2 linked regions of the Daphnia pulex genome follow. Each later gene encodes a partner of the first gene's protein in a complex. Links are inferred from orthologs where the notes say so. Each region holds a gene or a part of one and is shown on either strand. Other genes may lie near its edges.

Evidence for each region.
Region 2: CCR4-NOT transcription complex subunit 1-like (region 1) and CCR4-NOT transcription complex subunit 7-like share a complex: the UniProt entries of both Caenorhabditis elegans proteins name them as parts of the CCR4-NOT complex. The link is inferred for Daphnia pulex from reciprocal best matches to the Caenorhabditis elegans genes let-711 and ccf-1.

What each region holds. Positions count from the first base shown.
Region 1 is NC_060019.1:12,272,791-12,284,368, forward strand, and holds the start of CCR4-NOT transcription complex subunit 1-like, read left to right. Parts: upstream 1-4,578; 5' UTR 4,579-4,739; intron 4,740-5,028; 5' UTR 5,029-5,163; coding exon 5,164-5,255; intron 5,256-5,311; coding exon 5,312-5,792; intron 5,793-5,848; coding exon 5,849-6,361; intron 6,362-6,424; coding exon 6,425-7,360; intron 7,361-7,430; coding exon 7,431-7,788; intron 7,789-7,864; coding exon 7,865-8,205; intron 8,206-8,275; coding exon 8,276-9,319; intron 9,320-9,387; coding exon 9,388-10,264; intron 10,265-10,325; coding exon 10,326-10,624; intron 10,625-10,691; coding exon 10,692-11,154; intron 11,155-11,245; coding exon 11,246-11,564; intron 11,565-11,578. Other genes in the region: RNA-binding protein 12-like, read right to left, coding at 1-659, 745-1,928, 2,089-2,231. UniProt on the Caenorhabditis elegans protein: Scaffolding component of the CCR4-NOT complex which is one of the major cellular mRNA deadenylases and is linked to various cellular processes including bulk mRNA degradation, miRNA-mediated repression, translational repression during translational initiation and general transcription regulation.
Region 2 is NC_060023.1:8,132,717-8,143,686, reverse strand, and holds CCR4-NOT transcription complex subunit 7-like, read right to left. Parts: upstream 4,828-10,970; 5' UTR 4,728-4,827; exon of another isoform or gene 4,621-4,727; 5' UTR 4,520-4,620; coding exon 4,495-4,519; intron 4,421-4,494; coding exon 4,111-4,420; intron 4,047-4,110; coding exon 3,629-4,046; coding exon of another isoform or gene 3,623-3,628; intron 3,561-3,622; coding exon 3,438-3,560; 3' UTR 3,252-3,437; downstream 1-3,251. Other genes in the region: uncharacterized protein LOC124197609, read left to right, coding at 97-201, 265-783, 856-1,417, 1,513-1,882, 1,943-2,114, 2,181-2,327, 2,391-2,525, 2,593-2,761 and 2 more; T-complex protein 1 subunit beta-like, read left to right, coding at 5,446-5,448, 5,686-5,859, 5,918-6,183, 6,282-6,585, 6,640-6,767, 6,973-7,147, 7,204-7,381, 7,452-7,655 and 1 more; serine/threonine-protein kinase DCLK1-like, read left to right, coding at 8,847-8,931, 9,147-9,376, 9,437-9,910, 9,970-10,338, 10,436-10,513, 10,790-10,886. UniProt on the Caenorhabditis elegans protein: Catalytic component of the CCR4-NOT complex which is one of the major cellular mRNA deadenylases and is linked to various cellular processes including bulk mRNA degradation, miRNA-mediated repression, translational repression during translational initiation and general transcription regulation.

The sequences.
Region 1 (11,578 bases):
GACGCCAACGTCTGAGAAGAAATCGCCAATATCGCGTTCCAGGGCAGATGGAGGCAAACCCGTAATGAAGACACGTTGTGGACCGACAAAAAGACGACCTCGCTGATTCGGTGGCGCATCGTAAGAACCATTGCCGCCGCTTTGGGAACGATCAACGAAAGGGGGACCTGGTCTGTTGCTTGCAGGAGGACGATGAGGAGCAGATTGACCAGGTGAAAGTGGACTGTCAGTTTGAGTTGGAGGGGTGGTCATCACAGCGCCGACAACGCCACGGAAGCGTTCAAGATTTTTGGAGCAGACATGTAATTCCTCCAAGGGAAGAAAGGCCACCTTGACTTGACGGCCGCAGATCATGACACCGTCTTTCAGGAGTTGGATGGCTTTGCGAGCATCGGCTTCACTCCGGAGTTCAACAAAGCAAAGTCCGGTGACGGTTCCGCTCTCGTTCCGCTCTGGCAGCACCTGACCAATCGAGATCGTACCAAAAGCTTCTTTGACATTTTGTGCTGTCGCAACCGGTGGGAAGTCTCTCAATGAAAGACAAGAATTCGATAAACTCTTGGCATCAAGACTAATTCCAGGTGAGAAAGAATCAATCGCCTGGTTAAATGTCGAATCCTTAACATTGAATATTTGAACAGGATAGCCACGAATCGTACCTAAAACAAAAAAAAAAAAAAAAAAATACACAACAAATTAATTCCATTTTAATTCACGAATAAAATTGACTTAAGTTTTCTTTACCATTGTGGCGGGTAAGCGCTTTTAATTTGTCTTCATTGGAAGTGAATCGAATATACGCCAGACCGAATCGATAGCCATCCAATGCGTTGATCATTTTGATGCATGTGTTTGGGACATTAATTCCACTAAGATAATCTCTAATGTCTCGGTAAGTCAAGTCTCCAGTCAGCAAACGTAACTGAACAGAAGTATCCGGCACATTTTCATTTTGTTGATTGGCTTCCAGTTCCTCGGCCGGAGTAGGAAGAAGTCCTGATTTGCTGAGTTTCCGATCACGGTCACGATCCCGTGAGTTTCTAGCCCTCTCGCGACTATCCGAGCGACTTCGACGGCGGCGATCTCGGCCACGACCGCGACTTCCGCTACGACTGCGACTCCTCCTTCCACGTCTACTCATGTCTGAACCTCTTTCTTTGTCGCGATCTTGTCTGTCTCTTCGACTGCGCTCTTTACTTCTGTAACCAGCACGACCCATATCGCGATTCCTATCCTGGACGTCTGGGGGAGTGTCACGAGAATTGCGGCGATTCTGGTCAAAACGTTGCGGCCCTCCGTGAGCATACACATCTTGCATGTCCCCACCGGTTCCATGCAACATTTGCTGGCCACCGCCATACGGTAATAAGGGAGGCTCCTCAATAACTTCTCTCATACGCGGACCGAAATGCTGTGGAATATGAGGTCCTCCTTGCGGCAAGTGGGGAGCGTAAGTCTGTGAAGGGTTCATGTGAGGCGGGAAACCACCGGCATGAACAGGATTTTGCCCACCACCTGCCAACATGTTTTGACTTGGGTTATATGGTTGATGACTTTGTGGTTGTGGATACATTTGATGATCATAGCCCCCTGGATGGCCCTGACTAGGATCCATGTGCATATGGAAATTGCTGCCACTGGTGCTGGATGTTGCTCGTAGTCCAGGTGGTCCGCTGATAGGGGGATTGCTATGGGCGGCAGGAGCGGCACTAGGAGCAAAGGGGCCTCCTGTAAAAGGGCGCTGAACTGCTGACGTAGGAGCCATGTTGCTTCCTCCGCTAGCAGCGCCTTGCATAGCCAAGTGCTGCTGTCGTGTCTCTTCAATGATCTTTTGCATTTCCGTTCGAGAACTCAAGTACAGCTTGACTCGCGAGTCCTTCAACATACCACCGTCCGATGCCATTCCTTGTCGCGCATCCTCGTCAGTACTAAATTTAAATTGAAAGATAGACATTAATGTTTCGTTTTCAGAAAAAACAACAACACTGGTAACGCATGTGCGATCAATATTTTGAAAGCGTCGTGTTGCTTCACCGTTATACTTTATCAATGTTGGTTATTAAGATATTGGGGTCGTTGAATTGTTACCTGAATGCGATAAACGCGTCGCCTAGTTGCCCCCCGACTATATGCACGCCCCCTTCTGGTATGGATAGACCATGGAAGAATTGTCGAATATCTGCAGCGTTGGCCGACCAAGGCAAGTTCTGTAGTCGAATAATGACACTCATCTTCACTCTTGATTTCTTCTTCTTTTTCTTCGACGGTCACTTCTGAATTTAACGCCGACTCAGTTGCATGCGGCCTATTTCGTAATCAGCTATAACTGGTGCGATGCCTCTGTGTTGCCCTTTATTCGAATGGAGTGGAAGGTAAAATGATCAGTAATCACCCAGTGATAACAACATATCTCAAGATTATAACATCAAAATAAATCAATCCACTTCTTTCGACGAAATCCATTTCCAACAAAAACAAACAATGTTAGTGCGTCACGTGTGTTGTTTGTATCGAGTGCCATGATGGATTATCGCATTGACTTTCTCACCGGGACAAACGTTTCTTAAAAAAACCCTCAAAACCTCAAAATTTTTCAAAATATGGACATGGCTTGATTCAGACGCCTCTTTCCAACCCAGTTAAGCCGTGACGTCAAATGTGTCGCACACCTTCAGACTTACATCAATCGCTAATCAAGTTACATTTTGATTTCGTTTTTTTTTCTTTACTCAGAAGAACCCGCCTCACAAACAGCCTATTTGTTTTCGACGCAACTGCGATTCTTTATTCCTTCCCGGCCAAGCAAACTTTAGAAACTTGCGACGTCTCCAATGGTAGAAAAAAAAAAGAAAATTAAGGCTTTGGCTTTTTTTCAGCCAGGCAAGAAACCTAGCACACACTCTGGATTTTAATGATGCAAAATAGGAAAAAAAAAAAAAAAATCCAACAGTTCATTGGAGGAAAAAGCTGTAGATTACTGAACTTTCTAGAGAATCTCTGGTACTTTGAAAACAGGTCGACCCCATGAGCAAATAAATAAAAGTTAACACTGAAATTATCTTTGCTATATAAAAGAAAACGCTACTGCTTTGTCGAAAGCTCCCACTTCGAAAATGGTTTGTACACTGCAGCTCGCATTTCTTTTCTTTAACCTCAACAAAATCCTCTGAAAATTGAAGGGTAACCCAACATACACAACATACAATATAGGAAAAACTGCATGAGGGGGTTCCAGAGTAGGTTCCTTTGAACAGGTTCAGATTTAAAAAATGAAGCATGATGTCATGTCATGGGATTTTAAGAACTGAGATTCCAGCACCACACATCATGTTTCAAAGAAACTATACAGCTTGTGGAAACTGAGATTGAATGGACAAAGGGCAGCTTCATGCATTGAATAATCAAGAATGAAGATGACGAAGTATTAACACTAACTTTAAAAATGCATTAATTCTAAGTTGGTACTGTGTTCCGTTGACACTTGCACAACATTTCACTTCTTGAATCACATCCTATTTGTCTGTTTATCGCAGACTACAAAAGCATCACCACAGCATTTTTCTCCTTCGATGTTTTGATTCTGCAGAATTCCAACCCATGCCTTTAGAAGAATTTCATGATTAAGTTCTTCTTCGACAATAGCCTCTTTCAAAATACACACATGGCTGCAGTGACATGTTTTGAGCATTGTCAAATGTTCCAATCAGTCTATGTTCCAATGAAGAACACATGTAGCCAATAACACCCCTGTTTGTAGCAACTAATCGAATAAAAAAAAAACCGTTTTCGAACTTAGTATGAGCCTCGTCGCAAAAGAAATGGAAGTGACCTGTTTTGTTTGTGGTAGTAATTTAACCTTACCAAAATTCAGTCTAATTTTCCTGAAATCCTTGCGAATTTAGAGTTTAAAATAACCCTTCTTGAACGCAAAAAATTAGAATTGTTGCTGTTGTAAACAGCCCTGACGATGGTTTTCTTGAAGACAGTAGAGCCCTAGTAGTTAATAAATTTTTTCAGTTGGAACGGCGGGAGATTTTGGAGGGCTGCGATGAAGGAAGCCAAGCTTTAATATGGCGCAGTTTAGTTTTCTTTTTTGTTCACAATAAGTCAGGCTTGGTGTTTGTACTCGTAAACTTTTTGGTGACCACACTGGAAAACCTTTCCGGACGCCATCTATACATTACATTAAAATTTTTAAAAAGCGCTAGCTATTAAAATGAAAAATCACTGTAAATATATTATGGAATGTATTAATGTTTTCATATTTTAAATTTTATTATTGAAATATAAAAATTTCAGAAAATAAGACGTCGGTCGCAAAGAATGAGTGTATAAAGTGTACTACTGCCAGCGCATGAGTTACATTGACATTGAGTCATCCCTTCATTTTGCATAGTAGATATAATTTCTGACGGAAAAATTTATGTAAAATATATTCAAAACAAATAATGAGCCTAACAAATTCTGTATTTTATACTTACTTTATTTTTGTCAACCTTTTTTGAGTTTTTCCGAAAGAAAGCTAAAAATTCTCTTCTCTACCGCTAGAGGCGTTGACGAAATAGGCTGAATTTGTTCGGCTTCATCTTCATTCCAAATTTCTTGTGGCCAGCTGATTTTTTTGTTCAGGTTCAGGTTGATCGTGCAGCCATATTGGTTTGAATTTGTTTGATTATTTCGTTTGAACATTTCAAGCTGAAATTTATAAATCATTTTAAGAAAAAAAGTAAAAATCACTGGTATGTTGTATTTTAATTAAATCCGAATTTCCCCATTTCAATCGGCCAATGTTAACTTGTCCAATCGCAATGACCTCTTGAACAATTTCTTTGTTTAGGCAAGAAGCCAAAGCTTGATCGTGCGGTAAACAATGGCCATTTACCAAATAATAGACAAAGTTTTTAGTTTAAGTTTTTAATGTTATTGTCAATTCCTGTTATTATTTTTATGATACTCTTGATGTCAAAATATTTCAACATGTATCTTTAGTCAATCAATGAGTTTCTTCCAACATTTTTTTCTTTTCAGGTTTCGACAGTTGCTGACCTAAAGTGTTTCGTGAGTGGTTGCTAATGTCAGTGTCGGCCACAGAGGGAAGCTTCAAAGGCCATTTTCCTGGGCTTTGAAGCTTTCACCTGCCAGCCCTCTGTCTTTCATGGAACTATGAGCCTAGACTCACTGTCACTGGCGCTGACACAGATCCAATACCTGGTCAACAGCCTCAACAAAAAGAACTATCTTCAATCTAGAAATAGGTTAGAAAATTCAATTTTATTGAAAAACATCATGTTAATTTTGATATTTATTAAAGCATTGAAGAATTAGTTACCATTTATGGTATTGAAGCTGAAAGACATCTTCTTTGTTGCTGTCTTGCTGGAGTTGACTTTGTGGGGTTAGGAAACGGTGAAAGTTCATCATCTGTCAAGTCAAATAACCCAGGCAAGGAGAAGGAAAGAGAGCAGCTTCTGGCTGATTTTTTTGGACATTGCATCACCCAGCCAGCATTCCCTAGTCTTCTGAATAGTGCCCTTGAACAGCCATTGAGAAGCAACTTTACTAGAAGTGTTCAACAACAATTCAAAAGCAATTCGGCAGTTATCAGCAATTTCTGTCGGTTTTTGCGACTGTCACGAAGCCAAGAGGTGGTTCTTAGGATTGCTCTTTTAGAAACATTCAACCCTGAAGCGCGTTCACAGTCTATACTAATTATTCGCCAGAAACTTAGTGAACTATTGAAAAATTTTGCTGATCAAGATAGGAATACTGCCCCGTTGGAAGGAGGACTACAGGTAAAGCGTAAGCAAGTTTAATGTGTTCGTGTATAATTTCTAATGTATTTGTATAGGAATCGTCTCCTGAAGTCATTCACTACATTCTTAGTCGATTGATCAACGAGCCGGATACATTTGGAATAAGCAAAGACCTTTTAGAGGACGTATTGAGCTGCTTGCGCCGTGACTATCCTCGTGAATTGGTCCCTGTGATTTTAGCCCCAATCCTTTACAAGGAGCAAGGGGTAGACTACACTTGTCATAAGATGGCACACGAAACTAACAGTTTGACCAAGAATATGGTCGAAACATCATTGGCCGATTTGATCCTTGAAACTGGATACCCATTCACATCAAGTCTCGAAGAATGCCGTGCAAATATCACGACCTTCGGTTTTCGCGAATTGTCTCCCACATCGGTAGCTCGTGCAATAATCTACATGGTTCGCACGCACAGCGGATTGGACGAACATTCATTAAGACACTTGAGAAATGGTACATCACAATCATGGCCTGAGCAAGAAAGCTCAGGAGATAAAAGCGACGAAGGCCTTCCTACCTCATGGAACATGGAAATATTTGTCCAGGTAGTGGAAATGTTTGTTACTTCTTTATTTTGTATGTTCTTATCCAAAATTGCTCATTTTCAGGTTGTTACGGAGCTGGTGCCAAGTTTAAACTGGAAAGAAATTGTTTCAGAATTGGACCACCCTAGTTTCCTCATAAGAGATAGAGCAGGATTGCGCCTTCTCCTGACGGCCCTACAATTGGGCCTGCAAACACAGGGCGCAACTTTCCCAGCCGAGTTGCTGTATCAATCATGGAACAACGCTGAAGCTCAGCTATCGCTGCTTTCGCAATTAATGAGGAATACGGATCTCTTTTGCATTGCCGACTATCCACACCACGCCATTAATGTCGAAATTCTGAAATCACCCCCTGAACCTGATAACAAGAAGCTTGCCAGTTGGAAATGCCTGGGATTGCTTGAAACTCTTCTCAACTTATTGGAAAACGGCGGGCTTTACAGCCAGGTGCAAGAATTGCTTAAGGAGCCTGTTCAACACTGTCCCGATGTTTTAGTCCTTGGGCTTCTTCAGCTGACACAACCAATGACTAAACTCAGACAAGAATTGCTCAGCAGTCTTATTCCTGTTTTTTTGGGCAATCATCCAAACTCTGCCATCATTCTACACCATGTCTGGCATGCACAGTCACCTCTGGTCAAACCTCTGGTTATGCACGCTATGGCTGAGTGGTACATGAGAGCTGAACACGATCAAGCGCGGTTATCAAGAATTCTCGATGTAGCCCAGGACCTAAAGGCTCTATCTATGCTACTAAATGTGCAGCGCTTCCCTTTTGTCATCGATCTCTCGTGTCTAGCATCGCGCCGTGAATATCTCAAACTCGACAAATGGCTGACAGACAAAATGCGTGAACATGGGGAAACCTTCGTTGCAGCATGCGTTAACTTTCTACACCAGAGATGTCCTCAAATCTCCGGGAAAGTTAAAGAAGAAGCTGGTCTAAAGCCCACTCAACTTCCCTCGGACACACTAGCAATCATGTTGTCCTGCCTGCAGGTATGTTTCTTTGTTGTAAATCAGATTTTTTAAATTGATCAAACTAAAATTCTATTTGCATCTTCATAAGGTTTGGACTGGAAATGTGTCTCAAGAACTATCTGATACTATAAATACAATGGTTGCGAATTGCAACGTCCTGAATCGTGCCCGAGCGCAACCCCCACCTGGCGTCTTGAAACCTATCCGTCCTGGCAGTGGAGTTGGAGTTGACGTTTCATTTCCACCAGGAACCTTAAGCAGCCAACTATTTCCGCCTCCTGGAGTTGACTCAACTGGTCTTTCGCCCAGCCTTAGTAGCATGGGCTTAGGTCCACCAACTTCATCTGGATTTGCTGTTAATATTGGGTCCAATACACTCGGAGGAAATACTCCAGCCCCCGGATCGCCTGGAAAATTGTTCTCTAGCATGTCTTTGCTAGAAACTGGTAATGAATTACACCATTCGAAATCGACTCATCCAATTCTTATAACTAATATTTATTTACTTGTTTTGCTTTTCAGGAGTCAATCAGCCAACGGTTGTGGGGATGCCAAACAATTCCAACTCGAGTCAGAACCAAAGTACTTTCTCCATTTTTTCTTCATTAACTGGAACTGGAGCAATGCCTGGATCATCCAGTACAAATCCACTGGGCATAGGTATTCCATCTTCTATGGCGAGTGGAAGCGGGAACGGTCAATCAAGTATGGGTACGAGCAATATTGGATCTGGTACGGCTGGTTCTCCTGGATCGATTGTCAATGGCCCTGTTCGAGTAGGAATGAATCCTCACCTAGGCCAAGAACGAAGAACCGGCGATGTATCTAGTGCTTTTGCTGACATGCCACAAGCTGTTTCAAAAGTAAGCTAATATTTTTTTTATTTTTATTTTCCCCACACCTAATGGACGCATTCGTGTTTGTGTAACAAAGGATATCGAAGACGAGACAAATAGTTATTTCCAGCGGATTTACAACCAATCGCCTTCAACGCCTACCTTGACAGTCGATGAAGTTCTTGAACTTTTGAAGAAGTTTCAACATTCGACTAACCGCCGTGAACGGGAGATATTTGACTGCATGTTGAGGAATCTATTCGAAGAGTATCGTTTCTTCCCTCAGTATCCAGATCGCGAGCTGCACATAACGGCTCAGTTGTTTGGTGGAATCATGGAGCATGGTCTCGTCACCTACATGGCTCTGGGAGTGGCACTACGTTACGTACTTGAAGCTGTCCGGAAACCACACGGGACGAAGATGTACTATTTTGGGATCACTGCCTTAGATCGGTTCAGACATAGATTGAAGGAATATCCGCAATATTGTCAACATTTGGCCAGCATTCCGCATTTTCGGGAGTTCCCGCCGCATCTAATCGAGTATATCGATAATGGCTCCCGTGGCGTCGAGCCACCCAATCGTCCTCATGGTCCAGTCTTACCTCAAGTGACGACAGCTGCCAAAACCACTACTCCGACTACGCCAACTACAACGGTTGCTGGTAAAACGACCTCTACTGCTGCACCTATGAGTGGTCGACCGTCAATAGCAAACGCGACCAACATCGACACATTGCTGGTTGCTTCGGAGAAAGACGTCTTAATTGTAGACCCACCAGAGAGCGTCCAAGACAAAGTCAGCTTCATATTTAATAATCTGAGTCAATTAAACCTGACGCAAAAGTGCGAAGAATTGCGTGACATTGTGGGTGAAGAACATTGGTCTTGGGTAGCCCAGTATCTGGTGATGAAAAGAGCTTCAATTGAACCAAATTTTCACACACTCTATTCAAACTTCCTTGACACACTGAAGCTATCCGAGCTCAGTCGACTTGTCATTGGTGAGACGTTCCGCAATATCAAGGTACTCCTTCGTAGTGACAAGGGAATAGCAAATTTCTCAGATCGCACACTGTTGAAAAATCTTGGTCATTGGCTTGGACTTTTGATGCTATCTAAAAACCGGCCGATTCTACAGGTAATTCATTATTTTATTTTTAAATTGTGTACCAATTTTGCTAAACTGCAACTTCATTTAATATTCAGGGAGATATTGATTTAAAATCAATTCTAGTCGAAGCGTATCACAAAGGGCAACAAGAACTTCTGTACGTCGTACCATTCGTGGCGAAAGTCTTAGAGTCATGTGCTAAGAGCAAAGTGTTCAAACCACCCAATCCATGGACCCTAGGAATCATGAATGTTTTGGCAGAACTACATCAGGAGCCTGACTTGAAACTTAATCTTAAATTTGAAGTCGAAGTTCTTTGCAAAACTCTAGCCATTGATATTCACGATCTTAAGCCGGGAGTAGTCTTCAAGGATCACAATCGTCTGTCACGTTTGGAACCGCAGTTGTCCCAGCCGCAATTACAGCAAATGTATCAACCAGCACCACAATTGCAAATCATTCAGCAGCAGCAGCAGCAACTTCAACAGCAGCAGCAGCAACAACAACAACAACAGCAGCAGCAGCAGCAACAACAACAACAACAGCAGCAACAACAACAACAACAGCAGCAGCAGCAGCCACCACCACCGCCACAACTTGCTGGCTCACCTGCACAACAAATGCAATCCCAGCCTGGCACAACTACTCCAACACCAGCCCACGCAATTCAAGGCCCTCCTGATCCGAGGTTTTCTTATTTGGACATCAATGTCACTTCGTTGGCCGGACTAGCTCAGCATCTAGTAGTTAATAATAACATACCGCTGTTGACGGCGCATCCGAATTTAAGGATCCTTATCCGACCAGCTGTTGAACGAGCTGTTCAAGAGTGTATTCATCCAGTTGTTGATTGGTCTATGAAAATAGCCTTGACCACTTGTGAGCAAATCATAAAGAAAGACTTTTCACTCGACGCGGATGACACCCGCATGCGCGCTGCTGCTCATCACATGGTTCGCAGTCTCAGTGCAGGTATGTCTCGTTTAAATTTGTTGATGTATATAGAATTTATATTAAAATTGTGTATATTTAGGCACGGCATTGATTCGCTGCCGAGATCATTTGCTATTGACGATTGCAAACAATCTCAAGACAGCATTTTCTGCTGCCTTGCAGAGGAGCACCAGCCCTCAACAGAAGGAGTTGGTTGAACAAGCAGCCACTTTGACCGCTCAAGATAACGTTGAACCAGCGTGTGCGTTTATCCAAAAGACAGCCGTAGAGAAATCCATTTCGGAAATCGATAAACGCCTTGCCACGGAGTTCGATTTACGCAAGCACGCTCGAAACGAAGGCAGGAGATACTACGACCCCGCTGTTTTCGCCTATCAGGTACACACGTCTCTTATTTTACGTCTGGCAAACTAAACGTTACAAAAATATATCTTTTATTATTCAGGCCGATCGAATGCCGGAACCCATTCGTTTGAAAATGAGTGGCGTTACACCCCAACAAGCTGCCGTATATGAGGAGTTTGCCCGATACATCCCTGGATTCTTACCTGTCACCGAACGAGATGCAGCCATGCTTGTGCCTAAGATGATCCCCACGTTTACCAACGATGAAATTGGGGTCATTTTGGAAAAAGTCGCCATGGAATTGGAGCGTTTCTTGCAATCACTGTTGCCATTGGGCAGCTCAACGCAAGCAGTTGCGATTGGCTCTCTATTGGAAGCTGTCATTTTGGCTCGTTCTTCACGTGAACACGGAGCACATATTACTTTACTTCAAAAAGCTTTCGAAGGACTGGTGGAGAGCTTAACCAGTTTCGCTACGACCGGAAATGATCCGGAAGCCGTCGTCCGTTTCCGCGACGCACATTTGCTGGTTTTGAAAGCCTTGCAAGATCCCCAGGCTTATGGTCAGTAAATCTAAATGATTATTTTTAATGATTATTATTTGATTGATGTTGTTTATGTTATATTTTTTAAACCCATTTTTCCTGTTTTTAGGACCTCAATGGACTAATCGTCAGGTGACGCGATGCTGGGCCGAATGTCGAGAAGAGTTTCGATACAATCTCGATATTCTTGACTGCCTTGTGCGAGCTCATCTCATAAACTTGCAGCAATTTGACATGCAACTAGCTTCTGTGTTAGAGCAAGCCCTTAATGCTGGCATTGGATCTTCTATATTAGCACTTGGCTTTGCTATGCAATTGGTGCATGTCTATCTTCTCGAGGGACCCGCGTCTGGCGCTCCCGTGGTCATCACTGAAAACGACTTGGCGAACACCATTGAAATTTTGACACGTATCGCTGCTCACGCTAGGTATTTTTTAACCG
Region 2 (10,970 bases), on another chromosome or scaffold:
CCAAGTCGTGTCGCTGTCACCTAAATATTTGCCTAAAAATTTGGATGATTTGATTTATGAGAAGCTTGGAAGGATTATTCCAGTTAATCTTAGGAAATGTCTTCGAAAAACCGTACAATTCAAAATTTTATTACCTTAGTTCCTGATTACATCCGATCGAAGAGTGAAAGACATGAATCCGAAATTCAAAGGTGCCTTCAGGTAACTGCTTCAATGATTTGGATAGGAAAAAGTATTACATTTTCATTTATTTTTGTTATTTAGGTTTTGTGTCTTATGGAAAACCTTACACTTTTTGATACTCCCCAAGGATATACTACAGAATTTTTTATCAATGTTAGAGAGCTTTTAAGAACATGCGACAACAAATCTAATTTGGGGTGGAAGGGAATAGATATGGTCAAACATTTGAGTTCAAATTCTTCTATTTGTGAGCTTCTTTGTCAATTTCAATTTGTTCCAGTTCTCTCCCACTATCTTCAAGGGCAATTGGAATCTGATAAAGCTGTCTTATTGCTCTCTTTGCTAGAGACATTAACTGATGGAATAATTGTAGACCGATCAGGGTACTGGCTTAGCAATATTTTAAAATATCTTACTAGTGCTATCTTGGAGAAATCAGACTACACACTACCTCATCTGCTTGCTGTTTTATCCAATTTATGCTTTGAAAACTATGTTGTGGTCAATGAATTGCAAAGGACAAATCGTTCTGAAGACTTGCACCAATACCTTGTCCAATTGCAAGCAGATAACCTTTTGCTTCAACTGTATGCATCTCAGGTAATAATCTTTCAGTAAAATTATTTCAAAATAAGATATAATTGATGATTGTTTAATGTTTATTTGTTTTAGGTTTTCTTTAGCTCTCTGGCAATAGGTTCAATCAGTGAATTAATGCTGACCAATTACTTAAAAACAGTACTAGACACACTCACAGTCGGCTTCAAGAGTAGTAACACCAAAATGATCAAGCGAAGTTGCTGTATTTTACTGTGGATGACACGTGATCGCCTAATCCTTGATCTGCTGAAAGCAAATCGTTTCCAACAGCTACTACAGAGTTCTTTGGAAGGCTTGTTCAAGCTTGTTCCAAAATTGCTTACTTCATCTCAACATGCCAGTGATGCAGCCAACTGCATTTTGTTCTACACAACAAAAATACTCCGTACTCAGCTTGTTGTCAACAAGGAGTTCACCGAAGCCTTTATCCCGGCCCTCGTTCCACTTCTTACGAACGCCGCCCTCAACGAAAATTTACTTGAACTTTTGGCTGATTTAACAAACATCACACCGAGCCTTAACTTAAACGAAGAAAGCCTCGATCGTCTAGTTGTGAATCAACTGAACGATTTTAAGAATCCTGCCTGCAAGACATCTTGCAAAATTCTTGGACATGCCTTGCAGATTCTAAAAAATATCCTTTTCAAAAATTTTATACATATTAAGATTATTTACACATAATTGTAATACTGAACATTATTTCCTTAACTTGTTGATTCAATTTTGCACAGCTTTACAAAGTTCAACCTTCCAACATCCGGGTTGCATCGATGCTCAAACCGGAAACCTTTGTCAAAATCGTTTCCGTTTTTACGGATTTCGGCGAAGAAGTGGACCAGAAGAACTCCGACTTGACCCTCATCCCCAATCCTGCCGTTGTTTCACGTTATTCTCCAGAATCTAGAATCATTGTTGTCCAGTGTCTTACACTGTTCGGAGATATTGCTTTCCGAGAAAGAGACCAACTACCAATTTACAGTGATTTGCTGACAAAACCTAATGTGCAACAGTGCCTAGCATCTGCAATCGTACTTGGTGACTGTCACCTCAAACAAGACGCTTTAGCTCTTATTGGTACAGTAGGGTTTAATCGCGAAAGGTAAATTTAATTTGAGACAACAGTTCTATTATTGAAATGATTTTAACGATATTTTAACAGCTTAGCTGGTCTGTCGTATGCTATGGATCAGTTGTACTCCCGACGTGGCAGCGTTACCGATGAGAAGGATCCATTGGTAAACCGTTCAATTTTGAACGTGACCATGTCTCCTGAACAAATAAAGAAACTGGACAAAATCACACAAGACATGAAACACGACAAATTTTGGGAGGTAATAAAATCTGCTTAAGTTTGGTACATGCTTGTATGATATCTAAAAAAAAAATTATGAATTCAGACGATGAAAAATTGCGACGTGGTTGAATTGATGGAGTTACAAATTGCACGACGAGAGCGGGAAGAACTTCGATTGCTACACCAGCTGGATTCGTATAAACAAGAAGTCGATTCATTAAAAATAAATATCATTCAAATTGGAGCTGAGGTAAATCAGGATTTCAAAATATGACATCTTCCCTCGTTTTATTATTTTTGTTTTACATTTTAGAATGAACGGATAATGGCTATGCTCCTCAGCAAAACTCAACTCATTGAAAGCAAAGAGTCGGAGAACCGAGCTATTTCGAGGCGTCTTGAAAAAATGACCGATACGCAACGAGCCAATCAGCATGACTGGACAAGAGTAAACCTACACACACATTTAAGCAGGAAAAAAAATTAACCAACAAACCTTTGAATGTATTCATTAGGAGCGTGAGAGATTGCAAAGGGAAAAGGATAAATTTGAAGTGGCGCAGACTGAAAAAACGAATCAGATCCAATCCCAGCTCGATGGGGCCTTGAAACAAATTAGAAATCTTGTTCAGAAAGGTGAAGATATGGAAGAAGAACTTAAGAAATCGCAAAAATCCTTGGAAGGTAATAACATAGATGTGCATAGAATTTTTTTCTATAGAGATTAATGCCAATTATTTTTATCTTTAATTTGTAGCTGCAAAGCTGGCATACGAGAAAAAATCGAAAGATTTAGACAAACTGTCAAATGAGTTCCAAGAGATCAAGACTAACAGTGATAACCTTGTAAAGTCGCTTCGTAAGAAAGAGAAAGAAAATGAAGAAAAGGATAGAGAAATCATCTCTATGAATCAGGTAAAATGTTCAACTAAAGAAGATATCGGGATCGGACTATCGGGGTTATTTAATTGAAAATTTCCATGTGCTTTCTAGGCAATCAAAAAATCCGAAATGGTGCGTGAAGATTTGGAGGCTCGACTTATCGAATCTGAGAAATCGTGTCAAGAGACCAAGAAGAAACTCACTAAGCTAGAGAAAATTCAAGAATTTATCTATGATTTGTCTTCAGGCAAGAACAAACTCTTCGAGGATAACAAATAATGAACAATTTTAGTAATAGAAATACACAGGTCTGTATTGGTGGAACCTTTTTTGCAACGTCTGAAATACAGAGATATCTTCATTACAATTTTGTGTGTTTGAATAATTCTGCTCTGAATAGTAGAATCATTCCGCGCAAAGAATGGTTTCTCGGTTTAAAAATTAAAAAAACTAATGAAGTGTGTTTGTGAGATATCGCTTAAGACGAATTAGTGGCATCGCCATTGTCGTGGAAGCTGTTACCGTTGACCACAAAAGAATTGCCTAATCCGTAAAGGTGACCGCAGTATTTGGCATCGTCAATGTTATCCTCAAAGAACAACTAGAACGAAGCGTAAAAATGAAAGTTAATTAACCGTAATGAATTGAAAAAAATTAATGCCATTATACCTCTCTCATTTTGAAGAATGCCATTCCTGTTAGTAAGGAATCTGAACCAGCCTGATGTTGGGGACCGATTCTCTCAAGTTCTAGTTGGTCGGCTACTTCTTGCAAACCACCTTTTAGGTTTTTGCAACTCTTCATGAGATACTTGACATCATAGATGGTAGGAAAGTAAATCCTCAGGAGCTCAAAGAACTCACTCTCCTCCTGAGGTAGGTGGTGGTTAGTCAACATTTTCAACATATAGCCAAAGTCATATCCACTGTGGAATGACAACCACTTGATGTTATCCATCAAAACAATCCCAGAAGTCATCATCAGCTCAGCAAAATCTAATGGGTCTATGCCTTCTTCTTCATGTTTTTTGAATTGGAGACCAGAGTTCTGGAGCAGTTCTATACTGTCCTGTGCATACATATCTTCCCTATTAAACAAAGATTAAGATTTATAGTCTTCAGATGAGAAATAATTTGGTTTAGAAACCTTACCCAAGATTAAACTTGAAATTGAATTGCCAGGTAGTGTACCCAGAAGGTGTTTTGCCGTCTTTGTTCAGGAAACTCAAGCCCAGTTGTATGATTTTCAGAAGATCTACATTACACTTTAAAAGCTGGTATTGGTAATCAGCAGGGCTGCGAAATTCACCGATGGGACGGGCAACTACTCCTGGGAACTCAGTATCCATGGCTACATAATTGTATGCTTGTACAATCTGGCGTATATGTCTAAATTCGTCTTCCAAATTGTGAGCCCAGACTTCCCGAATCCCACACTCTTCATTACTAGGATGCATATTTCCTATTTAAAAAAGTAAAAGTGTAAAAATCATTGTCCTAGAAAGTTGATTTAATGAAATAAATAAAGCTAGTTACGATTTATACCAGTTGAAGTTGGCATGGCTATGGATAGTGAAGTTTCAGAAACCCAGTGATCACACTAGATTACACAAAGAATCAAATTCGTATAAACTAGCATATCCAGCAGCACATCACTCGAGCCTTCAAAACAATAAATTGATAAAAGAACCCTACAATTAATTCGATATTAACACCACTAGGTTAAATTTAAAATGATATTTGACACATCGACTCAGTGGGAACTTCACCTGAAATGTTTTCCGAGTTTTACAACAGCCTCTATATATATACAGTGGTGCCATCTTCGAAAATAGCGATAGATTGTTTGACAGAAAAAAACAGCTGACAAACGAAATGCGGCGATAGCCCCTTAATAAATAAAGCGCGAAACAAAATACGGAAAAAATATGGAACGAGTGAACGACAACCCTAAAACGTCAAATTGAACTGCGGAGCGGGAGTTTTCGTTCATTACAAATGTTGAAAACGCAAGACAAATCGATTAACAAAAGGACATATTGACATTATTCAATACTCACAAGTAATTATGTTTTTCAAGGAGTACGTAAACCAAAAATACTTGCCTTTGTAAGATGCTAACTTGCTCAGAGTAAGAACTCTAAAATAGGTTGTAAACAAATTAATTGGAGACTAACTTCAAACCGTACTTCCAAATTCGATCGTTGGTTCCAATCTAATAATCTGGCGGAAGTAATGCCAAACTTAATATTTTTGCAGATATCGCACGCAGGTAGGGCCTATATGATGTTCAAGTTGAATCTTTTGCATGTACGTTCCGCGTTTTAGTGTGACTCCGAGGCGACGTCCAGCGGCAAAGGATCAGGTTCGTCTAAACGGTTTCCAGCTACACCTTTCTTCTTTCTGCCACAGAGAGAAGTCCTCGTGCTTGTGGTTGAACGTAATTTTGCAAGTCAGAACCGAATCACTTCAGCCGGCTATCTAAAAATGGTACGATATTCGTCATTTCTCGTTTATTTACTTGTCTGTATCAAAGTCGCAATTCACTTTTCAATAATCAATTGTGAAAAGTCGGTTTTTTTCTCTCTTTTATGTTTTAATGGCGTACTGTCATTTGACAGAAAGTCACATGGTTGATATGTAAATTTGCTCATACTGAATTTTTTCTTTCTGAGTAAATGGAACCAAATGATCATGTAATCTTTTATAACTTTATGTATTTTTTAGGTCTCACTCAACCCAACCAGAATCTTGAAACATGAGGGTGAAGAAGAGAAGGCTGAAATTGCTCGCTTGTCCTGTTTTGTTGGTGCCATTGCCATTGGTGAGCTGGTGAAAAGCACTCTTGGTCCTAAGGGCATGGACAAAATTCTTGTTGGTGTTGGCCGCAATGAAGGACAAGTAGGTTTAAGATTTTTCTTGTGCTTGATTTTACTTAGTCATTAAATTCCTTTGTTAGGTTGAAGTAACAAATGATGGTGCCACCATTTTGAAAGCAGTTGGAGTTGATAATCCTGCAGCTAAAGTCCTTGTAGACATGTCAAAGACCCAGGATGCTGAAGTTGGGGATGGCACAACTTCAGTGACTGTCCTGGCCTCAGAGCTTTTGCGTGAAGCTGATAAGCTTGTTGAAATGAAGTTCCACCCTCAAACCATCATTGCTGGATGGCGTAAGGCCTCTCAGGCTGCCAAAGAGGCTCTTACTAATGCAGCTATTGATAATGGGTAAGATAGACATAATAGTTTCATTTTGCACAAAAGACCAACACAACATGTATTTGATCAATGTATTGATTTTTTTTAAAATCTCGTTTCATTTATAGGAAAGATGAAGCTAAATTTCGCGAGGATTTAATGAACATTGCTCGAACGACTTTGAGCTCAAAAATTCTTTCTCAGCACAAAGAGTTCTTTGCCAAGATCTCTGTCGACGCAGTTTTACGTTTGAAAGGATCAGGTAACCTTCAAGCTATTCAAATCATCAAAAAGCAAGGAGGTACCCTCACAGATTCCTTCCTCGACACTGGGTTTCTGCTTGACAAGAAACCGGGAGTCAACCAACCAAAGAGGGTTGAAAATGCCCGTATCCTTATTGCCAATACACCCATGGACACAGATAAAATCAAAGTAATTTAAACTTCGATGACTATCAAAGAATTTGAACTTAATCCATATTTTTAGGTTTTCGGCTCACGTATCCGCGTTGATTCCGTTGCTAAAGTTGCAGAATTAGAGTTGGCTGAGAAAGAAAAGATGAAGGAGAAGATTGAGCTCATTCTTAAGCACAATTGCACCGTCTTTATCAACAGGTTTGTCATTCTTTCATAATTCTTTCATTAATTTGAAATTTGCTATCTTATATGGCTTCAGAAATTCTTTTGTTTGTTTATGAAATATTTGAGATTCTGTCAGTTAGCTTATTTATTATCCATGTATTCTAGAATTTCTGTAGTAAATTTTATAATTTATGGTTGATTTTTAAATCAAAAATTTTTTATTTGTGTGATTTTATAGACAATTGATCTACAACTACCCAGAACAACTGTTCGCTGATGCCGGTGTTATGGCTGTGGAACACGCCGACTTTGATGGTATCGAGCGCCTTGCGTTGGTAACTGGAGGTGAAATCGTCTCTACTTTTGGCCATCCCGAACTTGTCAAACTTGGACGCTGTGATCTTATCGAAGAGGTTGAGCAACTTTCACTTTCTGGTAGAAAGAAGAACTCACGTAATTTGTTTTTTAGGTCATGATTGGTGAAGACAAATTGTTGCGATTCTCTGGCGTTCCATTGGGTGAAGCTTGCACACTTGTGTTGCGTGGTGCAACCCAACAGATTCTTGATGAAGCTGAACGTTCAATTCACGATGCTCTGTGTGTTTTAGCTTCGACTGTTAAGGAAACACGCACCGTCTACGGTGGAGGTACTATTTTTGTATTCCATGTTATCCGTCGTGCACCTGGGATTTTACCATTTTATTTCAAAATCCCAAGGTTGCAGCGAAGTACTCATGGCCATGGCAGTATATGCTTTGGCTGCCAAGACTCCGGGTAAAGAATCGATGGCTATGGAGGCTTTCGCCCGCGCTCTTCTCCAGCTACCCGTCGTGATTGCCGACAATGCGGGCTATGACTCAGCCCAACTTGTGTCAGAGCTCCGAGCAGCACATTCAGAAGGGAAAGCCACCTTTGGTCTAAGTATGTCGTCAGAAAATCTTCATGTTGCACATGCAATTCTAAAATGTGTTCATTGATTGTAAATAGATATGGATCTCGGCAAGATCGACTGTATGCAGCAGTTGGGCGTGACTGAATCGTTCGTTGTCAAGCGCCAGGTGCTTGTATCAGCAGCTGAAGCGGCTGAAATGATTCTTCGCGTTGATGACATCATTAAGGCAGCACCTCGCCGTCGTGAACAAGACAGGAGTCATTGTTAAAGTTGCACTGTCGATGCACAGCTTACGTCCTAACTTGAACTCGCATCCAGTTTTTTCCCCCCTTAAGTGGTCCGCTCTTTTTGCTCGAGCCCACTCTTTTGCTTCGTCCTTCTGTACTGGTCCTATAATCTACTACAGCTGATACACTGAACAATTGCTTAGTAAAAGAAGTTAATTCTTGTTCTTCTTTTTTATATTAGTTTCTGCTCTGTTAGTTAATCCAGCTCTAATATACTAAAAGGCTTCTCTTTAGAAAGCTATGGTATTTCCGTACGACTTAAAAATGGAAACGTGAGCACAATCTCATTAGAGCTTGGTGTGTCAAGCTTTCTCGCCCGTGAAGCCATTTTTCCAGTTTCTTTTTCGAGCCGAAATTTTTATCTAAAAGCAACAGCTACTTATTTTTCGTTTACACAGAAGAAGGAATACAAATTGCTTTCAGACTATCATTTTATAGTTCACTTACTCAAACCCAAAAACTCCCTTTCGGCAACTCGCCCTACCGGCGAGGCCGTCGAATACGGAAAAAGAAAATTTTCGTTTCCCTTGGGACGACTCTCCTTTGTTTGTTTGGCAACTGAGCAGCGAGCACTTTTATTTAGTCTTAAGATGGCAGAGAGGCATGAAGGGTGCTGATTGCCTTCCGTTCTGAAAAGTCCGTTTTGCCTGAAGGACTTCCTCCTATTGTGCACTTCAATTTCAACTGTTGGTAGTTGCCGCCGTACATTTGACGTAACTGTGTTACAAAACTTCATCGTAATAAGCATACGATGAAATAGTGATTAAACCGAACTTTAGTGGAATCCGTTTACATAAATGTTGAAAGGCTATTGTTTTTGTTTATGGTGTGATTTGCTCCCGTGTAAAATAATATGTTGCCATTGCATTCGACACTGAATGTGTGGGAAATTTGACTCATTAGTGTGGGAAACCTATCTGTGCCTAGTGAACTATGTCTGCAACAAAAGTGAAGTCATTGCTACCCCCACCTTCAGTCGAGAGCTCATTTTCTTCCTCAGGTTCTTGCTCTGCTGAAGGTAATAAATTGTTCAGCTTCTTTAATTTTGATAGTCGTGGTTGAGAAAAAAGTTGGCCAATTTTTAGAAAACTTAAATCATTGTGTGGTTGTTACTTTTTTTAGGCCAGTCCTCTCTGACGACATGATTCTTTGGTTGATTTTCTCATAACATGTAGTGCTGATTTGCCAGTATACATTATTCTTACTCATGCTTTTTTGTTTCGTAACTTTCAGGTTCTGTACCATCAGATTGCTCTACAAAGACCAGTCCAGGAAATAGTCCAGCACACCTACCAAGAAATCGTCCAAAGTCCATGATTCCCAAAATCCAGCTACCTCCTAGACCTTCATCAGCTCAACAAAGACCTGCTAATAGTAAGCACAGGCTTTCACTTGGGAAACCTGTCTCACTTAAAGAAATTCGAAGCTCTTCAGTTGGAAATCCTCCACTGAAGGAAGACCAGGTGATTAAACTTTTAAAAATATTTTGCTATGCTTATCTGACTAATGAAACATTTATGCAGTTTTCTAATGAGTCAATGGAAGTAAAAAGAAGGAATTCAAAGGGTACAAATGGCCACATCCGTAGTAGCAGTCTGTCAAACGGTAGAGACCGTTTGAGTCTCTATGCTCCAAGCTATTCAGCAAGTGAAGAAAGCTGCTCAGAAAAAAGTAGGGAAGAGATCAGTGAGCTGATGACGCATTCGCTCATAACAACTACTGGTGCAAGCAACAACAACGACAAGCTCGCAAAGAACCGAAAGCCGTTGGCACTCAAGTCAGCCGAGAAAAAAGCTCGCAAGGTCAAATTTTACCGCAACGGCGATCGTTTCTTCAAAGGCGTTACATTGGCCGTCTCAACTGAAAAATACCGCACCTTCGACTCTCTTCTGTCAGAGTTAAACCGACTTGTTGGCGATCGAGTCAATCTCCACCAAGGAGTCAGAATAATATTTACCACAGATGGTAGTAAAATCAATACGATCGAAGAGTTACAGGTGAGATACCTTTTTTCATTGATTGGATTTTACTTTATATTTATGCATTTTTTTTAAAGGATGGTGAAAGCTACGTGTGTGCATCCACTGACCAGTTTAAGAAACTCGAATACAACAAGTGTGTTGGAACTACAGCTATGCGTAGGTCGCGGATCACTTATGGGCAAGGAGCCATCTGCCGCGAAGCATCAATGATCTCCGGCTTGGATCATTGGAAAGAGCGTAGGAGTAAAAATCACGTAAATAATAATAGCAACGGTCTGAGCAGCAGTGGGTACGGTGCTGCTGTGGCAAATGGAGGAGATAGTAGTCCTCGCTGGGCGGAATACATGAAGCCGCGCCTCATTACGATTATTCGAAATGGAAGTCGGCCCCGCAAAGCTGTTCGACTCCTACTCAACAAGAAAACAGCTTTTACCTATGAACAGGTAGATAGTACTTTTTGTTTAATAACGGAAACACATCTGTTCAAGTCTAAACTTCTTCAGTATCCTCATTCTGATATGTTTATCTTCTTTTCCGAAGGTATTGAGCGATATAACGGAGGCAATCCGACCAGATTCAGGAACCGTTCGGAAACTGTACACAGCAGATGGGAGACAGGTACAATATCCTTGAAAAACGTGTTATTCCTATAAGCCCCTTACCCCTTTTGTAGTGGACTATTAGGGGGGAAATTGGCTATTACAGAATTCTTGGGTGTTTTGAACACTTTTTCGTCGTAAAATTAATTTGGGGAAAGTTTTTGACTTCACGGTCTCAAAGTTCACATAATAACACCTTGTGTTCTTGGAAAAATATAGTCCAACTTGTGGTTCCCCGATCATGTGAACGTGTTAAGTCTGAATCTTACTTTCTATGGCTTGCGTACATGTTAAGGTGGGATGCTTGGCTGATTTCTTTGGGCCGGATTTCATCTTTATCGCCTATGGCAATGAGAAGTTCTCCCACGATGATTTTGACCTCACTTCCAACGGTATTTATGCACTTAACTTACTGTTTTAAAATGAAACTGTTGGCTGGTGTGAAAGTTTCACTACATAGAACTTTGTCGCATACT